2 linked regions of the Drosophila melanogaster genome follow. The protein of the gene in region 2 interacts with the protein of the main gene of each other region in a pairwise test. Each region holds a gene or a part of one and is shown on either strand. Other genes may lie near its edges. The genes, in order: c-cup and CG43689.

Region 1 (3,646 bases), on a different chromosome or scaffold from region 2:
TCAAATAACACTTTGCCAAATGTTGTTCTTGAGTGTGTGTTGTCCTTTTGCACATTTGACTGATTTTGAAGTGTGTGCTTAACAATTTTTGGACAACTTTTTTAAATTCCTTAAGCACGTCGACTGACGAAACTTTGCGCTGGCGAAAAGTAATTTTGATTTTATTAGCTGTGTAGCACCTGACGGCATTCCTTCTGCTTTCCCGCCCGCTTTGTCACTTCTTGGCTTTCAGCTCTCAGCTCTCAGAATTCAGCTTTCAATTCAATTTAAGTCAATTGCGTGTTTGGCGCAAAGTTTTTCCACACACATACACCGGCACAATGGGAAACCCGAATCACCCCGAAGCCCTGAAAATTCGGCGACAACTTGACAAAGTCAACAGCTTGATGGGCAAAAAGTGCCAAGTAAAAAGGAAAACACGACAAACAATTTGTTGTTATCGACATTTGCCGTTGTCGATATTTTCCTGTCGAACCGAACCGCTGGGGAAAAAAGCGCAAGACAAAGGCGGAAAAACTTTCCGGCTTTCCAAATGCCAAGAGCTCGGTCAAACGGCAAAAAAAAAGAAGGACAGAATTAATTTAATCTCAGGCTGGAGGAGATTGTAAAAGAAATAGTCGATCATTTGTTTGGCAACCTAAAACCTTTGGAAAATATTCGCTCATGAAGCTAAAAGATATCTTCAATAATTTTGTTTATTCTACAAGTTACATGTAATTTTTCCAAACGCATTTTTAGTCCGTGGTTGCACTGAATATCCCCTTCAGTTAGCTTGGAAGTAAATTACTAGTTTCTGTGAATAATATTTTATTGCCAAGCTAAGAAAACGGGATATTCACAGCATCTTAAACGATATCACTCTTCTCCATTTGCTCCCCTATGGCCGAATTTGTATGTTTGACTGGACTACCGCTAATAATATCTATATCAGCATCGACTAAATATCCTACGACTTTAAATTCGGCTCTTAGGCTCTGCTCCCAGCGACTTATTACGTTCGCAGCGCAGACGCCCATGGAACTGCAGGCAATGTTCAGGACCTTGTTGGCATTGCAACCGGCCAATAGGGAGTACGGACCGTGACTGCTGAACTTTTCTCGGCCCGGACTCAGATCGTATATGAGGCCATTCAGAGCGGTGTAAATGGGTAGACTGGGACTCGAGCCATCGAAGGCAGTTAGCTCCTCCAGAGTGAGCAGAACGATATCGTGTCCTTTGGTGTCCTTTGGCTGACTCTCTTTCCTGGGGTACATGTCCAAGTACTGCGTCGACTCATCGGATTTCTCAGAGTCCCTCTTGAATTTGCCATAAAATTGCGACAACTTTGTGGTGACAAAGTAGCCAACCAAAAAGGAGACTAACGCCTGGCCAAGAGGACTTTTTAGCACTTTGGAGGCTGTCATCAAATTGGGACCCAGCTCTAGAGGATGAAGTGAGTGCGTTACGTAATTATCTACTACTTAATAACATTACTTACTTGCAGGAAACATTTGTCCAAGTATCGGCATTTTTACGACTTTTCCATAAACTATATAATTGACTCTGTTTAAGTTGTTTTCGTGCTCAGCATTTCATGAATTTTGAAAGTTCAGTCGAAATATATTCGAGTGCAAAATCAGCGGCAATTTGATCATACTCAATTAAGCCGAGTTAACAACAATTTACCGCAGTGCGGAGCGAATAAAAATGTTAAGCCACCTGCTGCCGAGCTCATTTACATCAGTCATATAAATTACATGCACTTAAAGAAATTCAGTACTATTCATTTCTAGCAAGACAAAGTTATTAAGTTATTATTTATATATTTCTTCAACATCTATTTATACGTGCATCAACCCTTTTGGTTGCTTACTCATTAAAATATTGATTTTCTTCGAGTGTAACGTACATAGCTACAGCGTGTGTCTACGCCATTTGCTATTACCATTAATGCCAAATGCTATCGTAAAAAAATGTCGCATGAAAACATTGCCAGTCTGCTGTCAGTTGCTGTTTTTATCAAATTGGCTGTACTTGGACTTTAATATGACTTAATAAGCTCATTACAATTTTTTGCGCCACGATGTGTGCGTATGAGCATGTGAGTGTGTGTGTCTCGCCAACAAAGTGTAATTTTGCGCCAGGCGAGTGCTCTGGGAGAAATACATACGGACGCTTATGTAAATACAAGTACAACTGCAGGGCGACTGCCAGGACGAAGGAGTCCTGCGCTGATTTGGGTCGGATTTAAACGATACCCTCGGATTGTTCAATTGCTCGGAAAGCTGAAATTGGTTTGTTGTGGCTCTTACGGTAATTGAGCTCCCACAATAGTAGTTTATATAAAATATGGCATTATTGCTTTATAAATTACGCTGTGCACTGAAATGTTGGCAATATTTTAAGTATTTATTTATTATGCTTATAGTGACATTTCCAAGTGTTGTCATGTGGTCAGCTTGAATGACTTACTATATGTGGCACCATCATGCCCTGGCAATACCCTGGCGATTCTCGTAACAGGATTCAGGAGAAACTGGCAAGCGTAGCGCCGTTTCGTTTCCGCCTTATGCTCGCATTAAAATTTGCATAACGTTGATTTTGTTGCGAGCACATTACGCATACGCCGCGTGTGACGTTGGTTCAAATTGCTTTGGGCACTCGGTTTGCGGCTGGTTGCTTCCTTTGCCTGTTGTCGTGTTTTTGTTATTTTTCCTTCATTCCAGCTCTTTTTCGCTTATTTTAATTTAATAAATTAAAACATATTTCGCATGCTGTTCAAATGTAATTACATATCCCTTGGACCGCACTCGCTACCGCTCAGCCTTGCCTTCTTTTAATTAAAAATAAAAATCATACAAATAAAAAAGAGCAGCAGTCTCTTTAAAGTTCGTATGGCTGCCACTGCCGTTCTGCGGGTTATTAATAAACTTTTCAATTGCCCACCAACCGCGAGGGCAGCTGTGTCGTATTAACTTTGTCTGCCAGCCGCGCCCCTTTTCCTCCCGCCCCCTTTCCACTGTCTCTTGTTTGGCTTATTAGTCCCGCTCCGCTGAAATTTGCTTTGGCAAATGTCGGAAATCCGAATGCCAGAAAAAAAAAAGGAATCACAAAATTTCAACCACAAAGTGCCAAAGCTCATAAGCCCACGAACAGGATAAAAAGGCTCCGGCAGAAGGAGCAGTACAAAGTATGCGGATGCTGCTTATTATTCGAGTTAATTAAAGCAAATTTCAAAAGGATTAGAATGCCAGCAGATTTGCTTAGTTTACTTTGCTGCAGGCCTGCGAAGGTTCTGGGATTTTCTGCTAATGGGATAGACTTTGAAAAAGAGGGAAACGATAAAGGGTTCAGACATAAACAACTTAAATAGGGGTTTCCTTGAATCATTTACAATTGTTCATTTGGCTCCGGTCGTATTGAAACATTCAATTATTACCAAACTTCTTTAAAATGTACGACTCTCAACACATTTATTCAAAGCCAAAACGAGTACAAATATTTCCATAAAATATTATCAAACATTACCAGAGAGTCCCACTCCATATTGCAAAGTCCCAACCAATCCCCTTGGCGTCCAATGATTTATTCATTGAACTGAGAGGCAAGGCAAAGCCATAAAAATCACCCACATAGTTTTTGGCCCGATGCCGCCCTCACACTCGGC
Region 2 (5,257 bases):
GAGGCACACCAACTCATCACAATCAACTGGGAAATTCACTCTCTTTCTCTTCTTTTTTTTTTGGTTTTGGTTTTTGTTTATGGCTTACTATTTTTGACCACTTACCGCGATTTTGGCTACCCGGCGAATAACTTGGTGCCGGTGTCGATGGAGTCGATGGTCCTGCCGCTGGTACCGCTGCCGCCGGACTGCCGGCCGCTGTTGATGGTGGCGTTGCCACGAGCGGAACGCCCACAACGCCTTCACGCGATGCTATGTCCTGCATAACAGATGCAGCCCGACTGCCGATGCCCGCCGGCTGGAGAATCGTGTACTGTTTGCCATCGGCCATCGGTTCCTTGGGCCGCTGCTTCTCGCCCAGCTGACTGGCAATATCGAAGGCGGTACTCAGTTGCTGATGCTGCTGTTGTTGGTGCTGCTGCTGCTGCTGTTGTTGTTGTTGACTAGCGGCGGCGGCAGCGGCATAGCCATAGTAAGCCAATCCGGCGGCAGATTCCGCTGCAGCGGCCGCATTATAGGCACTATAATGGGCATGAGCGGCGGCCACATAATTCCGTTTGATGATATCGATGGGCGGCTTAAAGGCCGAGGCCGCTTGCGTGTAAACGCCTTGTCCCGAGGCGGAAGATGAGGTATCTTCCAGTTCCGGATCCTGATCCTCATCGGGCGTCTTTTTGCCGCGCCCCTGTGCCTCCAGATGGACGACACCACCAGCACCGCTGGCTGCATTCAGGCGCGCCTGGTCGTTCTCTTTTTGTCTGTGGAAACGTGAGAAGAGTGTGGAATTGGGATTTGGTGAGCTGGCTTGTGCTTGTATGGCATGGCTGGGATTGCCAATGGCCTCATACTTTTGTTTCTCCTCGAACAGATTCTGGAAGGGCGGTGGATTCTCGTCCTGCTCCTGCAGCCGATACAAATTCCCCCTTGAGTCGGGCCAGCTGCCCGATAGGCTTTTCAGCGCCGCCTGTGTTTCGCGGATGAGTGTCTCATCGTCCTGATCCGCATCCGTGTTGCTTTTGGCCAGCGGAGTGGGCAGTGAACCGCATGTGGGGCTCTCCGGACTGTCTGCGATGTGGCCCTGGCCGCCTTGTTTGCGTTTCTTCTGCGGCAAATTGTTGTTGTTGCTATTGCTGTTGTTATTGTTGTTGTTGTTGTTGTTATTATTATTATTGTTGTTGTTGTTGATCAGGCTGGAGTCGTCGTCACGACTGCAACGTTTGCGCCGCTTGATGGATGTCTCGTGATCATTGCCATTGGTGTGGTTGCCATTGCTTTCGGACAACGGCGTGTCCTTTGTAAGGGGCCGCTTGGAAAGCGCCATTTTCCCGGTGGCTATTCCGTGTTTCCGGCTCTTTGGCTCCGCTGATCAGGTGAAAAGTCAAACGAAACGTAAGCAATATTGTGGTTGTTTTCTGTAGGCAGAAGTGGATGACGTTTGTGTGGATGCACCACCTTTGCAACATTATCATTTTTCAGCTTCAGCAACCGAAATCCACACTTATTTTACTCCAATATCACCAGACTTAACAAAATCGAAACCATTTTCAGTAAACAAGCTCTATAATAACAAAACTAATACCATCGCCAGTTTGTTTTCAACGGAAAGAATAAAGTGTTTTGATAAACAAATATCGTTAAACCAAAGTAATTTTTGTTTACAAGCCCACCTTTTAAATCATAATAAGCGTTAAGCGTTTTGCAACTAACATCTAAAATTTAGCAAAAACTACTAGTATTTTGTCAGTTGCTTAATGTTTTGTTGTCGTCATAAATTTGGTTTATTGCTAGAATCGTCTGCTTAATTGTGCTCAACTTAATGGTAACATAAAATAATAATCCATAAACTATTAATAATGTCTTTGGAAAACTTTTATACAAAATGGGCTAGTCTTATGATTTTAAAGAATATTACAAAATAATATTAAGCCGTAGAAGTTCGCGCTGCAAACATTCATTATTCTATGTCGCCTATAAAGCATGGGAATAAAATGATTTTTAGTTAGTGGGTGGGTACGTGACATAAGCAGCTTCCCATCTAAATGGTTAGGATAATATCGAGTCGAAACTCGAGATTTGCGCTAGATCAATTTTCAATTTTGTTAGTCATATTCTCAATGTGATTATTCTTGTTGCATTGAATTTCTTGTACTTGTATACTATTTGTTTTTGTTTTCCTGTTTGGTTATTATTCATTTGTTTAATTTCTCGTTCTGGTTGTTTTTTTTCTTTCTTTTTTCGTTTCGAAATTTATGCCTTCACAGGGGCAGGGGGGCGGGTCTGGGTGAGGATCAGCATGGTATATAGTGTACACAATATTTATGTATATATATATATTTATATATATTCCTATATATAATTATAGACTGTCAGTTATCAGTTCGATACGAAAATTTGCAAGTTCTATTGGGGATATTACAAGATTCAAATACTTATATATGAACTTTACCTATTTGGCGAATTCTGTTTCGATTTTGTTGTCTTAGCGATTACGATTGCGATTTACGATCGATATCGATTTCGATTTTGTTATTAATTTGCTTTGATTTAATTTAATTTATTTAAACACTCTGCACTTATTGGCTGACCATTCGGTTATGGCCTTTGTTTGTATCTTTTTGTTTGCTTTGCTGATAATGTGATGTGGCTGCTGGCTGATAGCGTTGCTGTTGCGATTTCTTGTTCCACACAAACACTATATGTTTTATGTATATTCTTATATAGGATATGTCTCACCAACACAAAAAACTAACGAAACTAAAACTGTTTAAACAGTAACAAAAATCAAACAAACAATCAAACACTTAACTCACTTTTTGTCAACGCGACGGCGGTGATGTGTCTACGAAAAATGTTTATTGTTTTGGTAAACTTAGGCCGGCTAACGTGGCGTATACTTGATGTCAATTAGATCACGCACTTTTTTCGCATTTGTTTTTTGGTTTTATACTCGTGGGCTTTTGTTTTGCATTGCACTGGGTTTGACTTTGTTTTTATTTCACTTATTTGTGAAGGGGGTTTTTGCGCGGCGGCTGGGAAGTTTTGCTTTTAGTTCGTTGGGCGCTGCGAACAAAAACTTTTGCACTTTTATGCCGCACTCTGGTAAAAGTTTGTGTCCGTCTTCAGAAAGTTTTTGGGATCTCCGGGGCCAGACCAATGGAATATACCCACTCTATATGGCAGCTGCAATAAAAGTCTGCGTCGCAGCGAGCGGCGGTGAAGTCCGGACGTCCAAAACCCGACTGCTCGATGCGTTTGGGGTAATAAAATTTTACATCGTCGCCGTTTCAGTCGCCGTCTTTCAGTCGCTGTCGACGTCGACGCACGTTTTCCGAGCGCCAAAACGGTACAAAAAAAAAAAAAAGCGTTCGGCTTTCCCAATACGGTGTGTCGTTGAGGTTTTGGGGCAATATATGTTCCTTTCTAGCCTGTTCCGTTTCTGTACCGATTTTCCAGGCGGAACGTGCGTCTCTACCTGTTCTAAGTTCGCTGCCAACTGACAGTTTTCCAAAGTTGTCGAACTTTCGAACGCACTGAAAATTGCAGTCGACGTCACAGTCGCCGTCGCAGTCGCCGTTTTCGGAGTAAAAACCCGAAGTGCCGATGTACTCATCCCCTGGCCAGCACTGTATGACAGTATAACAGTCTGACGAGTCGGCGCACTGGAGCTCGTCCTGTTCGCCGTCCACCCCCCCTGTTTTCCGAAAGGCCGATGGAAAAGTCGTGGCCGAAACGGGGCGGCTTTTTCGGAGGACTTCGAGGATATCCTCTCGGAGCAGCGACGTCGGCAGCAGCCCACAAATGACTTTATCCCGTCGACGACTCAAGTGCAGGGATTTGCTCCGTGGACGGCAGTCCGTCGTCCATCGCCCAGCTAAGATCGCTGAAGATTCGGATCCAGATGCCAGAATTCACCTGCATTGATTGCGATCCAGGCTAGCAAATCCATTAGCGCCATCTGACGCATTTGCCAGCAGGTGATTCAGGTCACATCCACATCCACATTCACATCCGCCTGCCGATCGCAACGAGAATCGGCGAATCCATCATGTGCCGCCGTCATCAATCCATCAATCACCACTGCAACCGAAAATTCACAGCTGGTTGGTTTAGTGCGCGAATGTGTGCCTTTTTTTTTGCAGTTCAGTGATTAAGATACTCCAAAGTCAACAAATAACATTAAGCAATGGGATATTGAATGGAGCTATGTTTAGGGATTGATTTTTTATTTCTAAGAGTTCATGTTACTTAGCTCAGCCAAGGCTATAATGATCGCAATAAAATGCATCTATCTAGAATTTAGATAGTTTATTCATTTGAAGTTGGCCAAAAAGTTATTTTTTGTTCTCAAATAAACGAAATATTTATTCAATATTTCGTTAGCAAAAGTCGTCTTGATGGGGATACAATTTCTTTATGAATAGTTTAGGCTCCACCAAGTTCAAGTTTCAAGTGGAGCAAGGTGACGTTGAGGGGAAGTTGGCATTTGGGAGCCGCCATTCGGGTTCTTTGAACCGGTCGCAGGAAAAAGGGTTTTCGGTGGCGCAAACGAAGATGCGGAAGCTGCTTGTGTGCGCTGGGTCGTAATTAAAATAATTAAATGTGGAAAAAAGTAATCACAAGATTGAAAAGTAATTTACACATGTAAGCAAACACCGTGCACACACTCACACACACTTACACACACAGTCAGCACACGCAGACATGTGCAGCTTAAACAAATACAGGCGCAAACAAAGCCCGCAGGATATTCGCAGAAGACGCCAGAAGACGGGTTCAAAGAAAGCAAAAAAGAAAAATAAGAAAATAGGAAAAAAACCCGCTGAAGAAGCGGAAAAAACAGTGCCACAAATTGCCTAGGCAAATGGAAAAGTCAACATTAAGACAAGACGAGTGCAGAGCACAAAGCTGATGGGAATCTGCAGCTTGGGATCAGGAAGGATGGATTCTATATATGTATGCCGCCAAGAAGGGGTTTCTTTTCGGAATGATGATGCTGGCGGTGGAGAGGGGTGGGGATTAGCAGCTCGGAACCCGTGCCTTGCGTAAACGCAAAAACGCAAATGATTTCTCTTATTTCCAAGCGGTCGCGGTTATTTTGTGGGCGGGATGGGCCAACCTTGGATGGGGAGGATTGCCATTCGTCTAAAATTGCGTTCCTGCGTGCTGCACTGTCCAAAATTACAGTACATATATTGGTAATTAACTAAGCTTGGCCAAATGAAATTGGGCAAAGAAATGTAATACTATTGGTTTTATT

What was found.
Region 1: the proteins of CG43689 (region 2) and c-cup interact in a two-hybrid assay, tested with the Drosophila melanogaster proteins (one large-scale study listed by BioGRID).

The regions. Positions count from the first base shown.
Region 1 is NT_033779.5:1,830,947-1,834,592, forward strand, and holds c-cup (calcutta cup), read right to left. Parts: upstream 1,620-3,646; 5' UTR 1,509-1,619; coding exon 1,478-1,508; intron 1,421-1,477; coding exon 846-1,420; 3' UTR 681-845; downstream 1-680.
Region 2 is NC_004354.4:4,073,980-4,079,236, reverse strand, and holds the start of CG43689 (uncharacterized protein), read right to left. Parts: upstream 3,260-5,257; 5' UTR 2,811-3,259; intron 1,363-2,810; 5' UTR 1,322-1,362; coding exon 106-1,321; intron 1-105.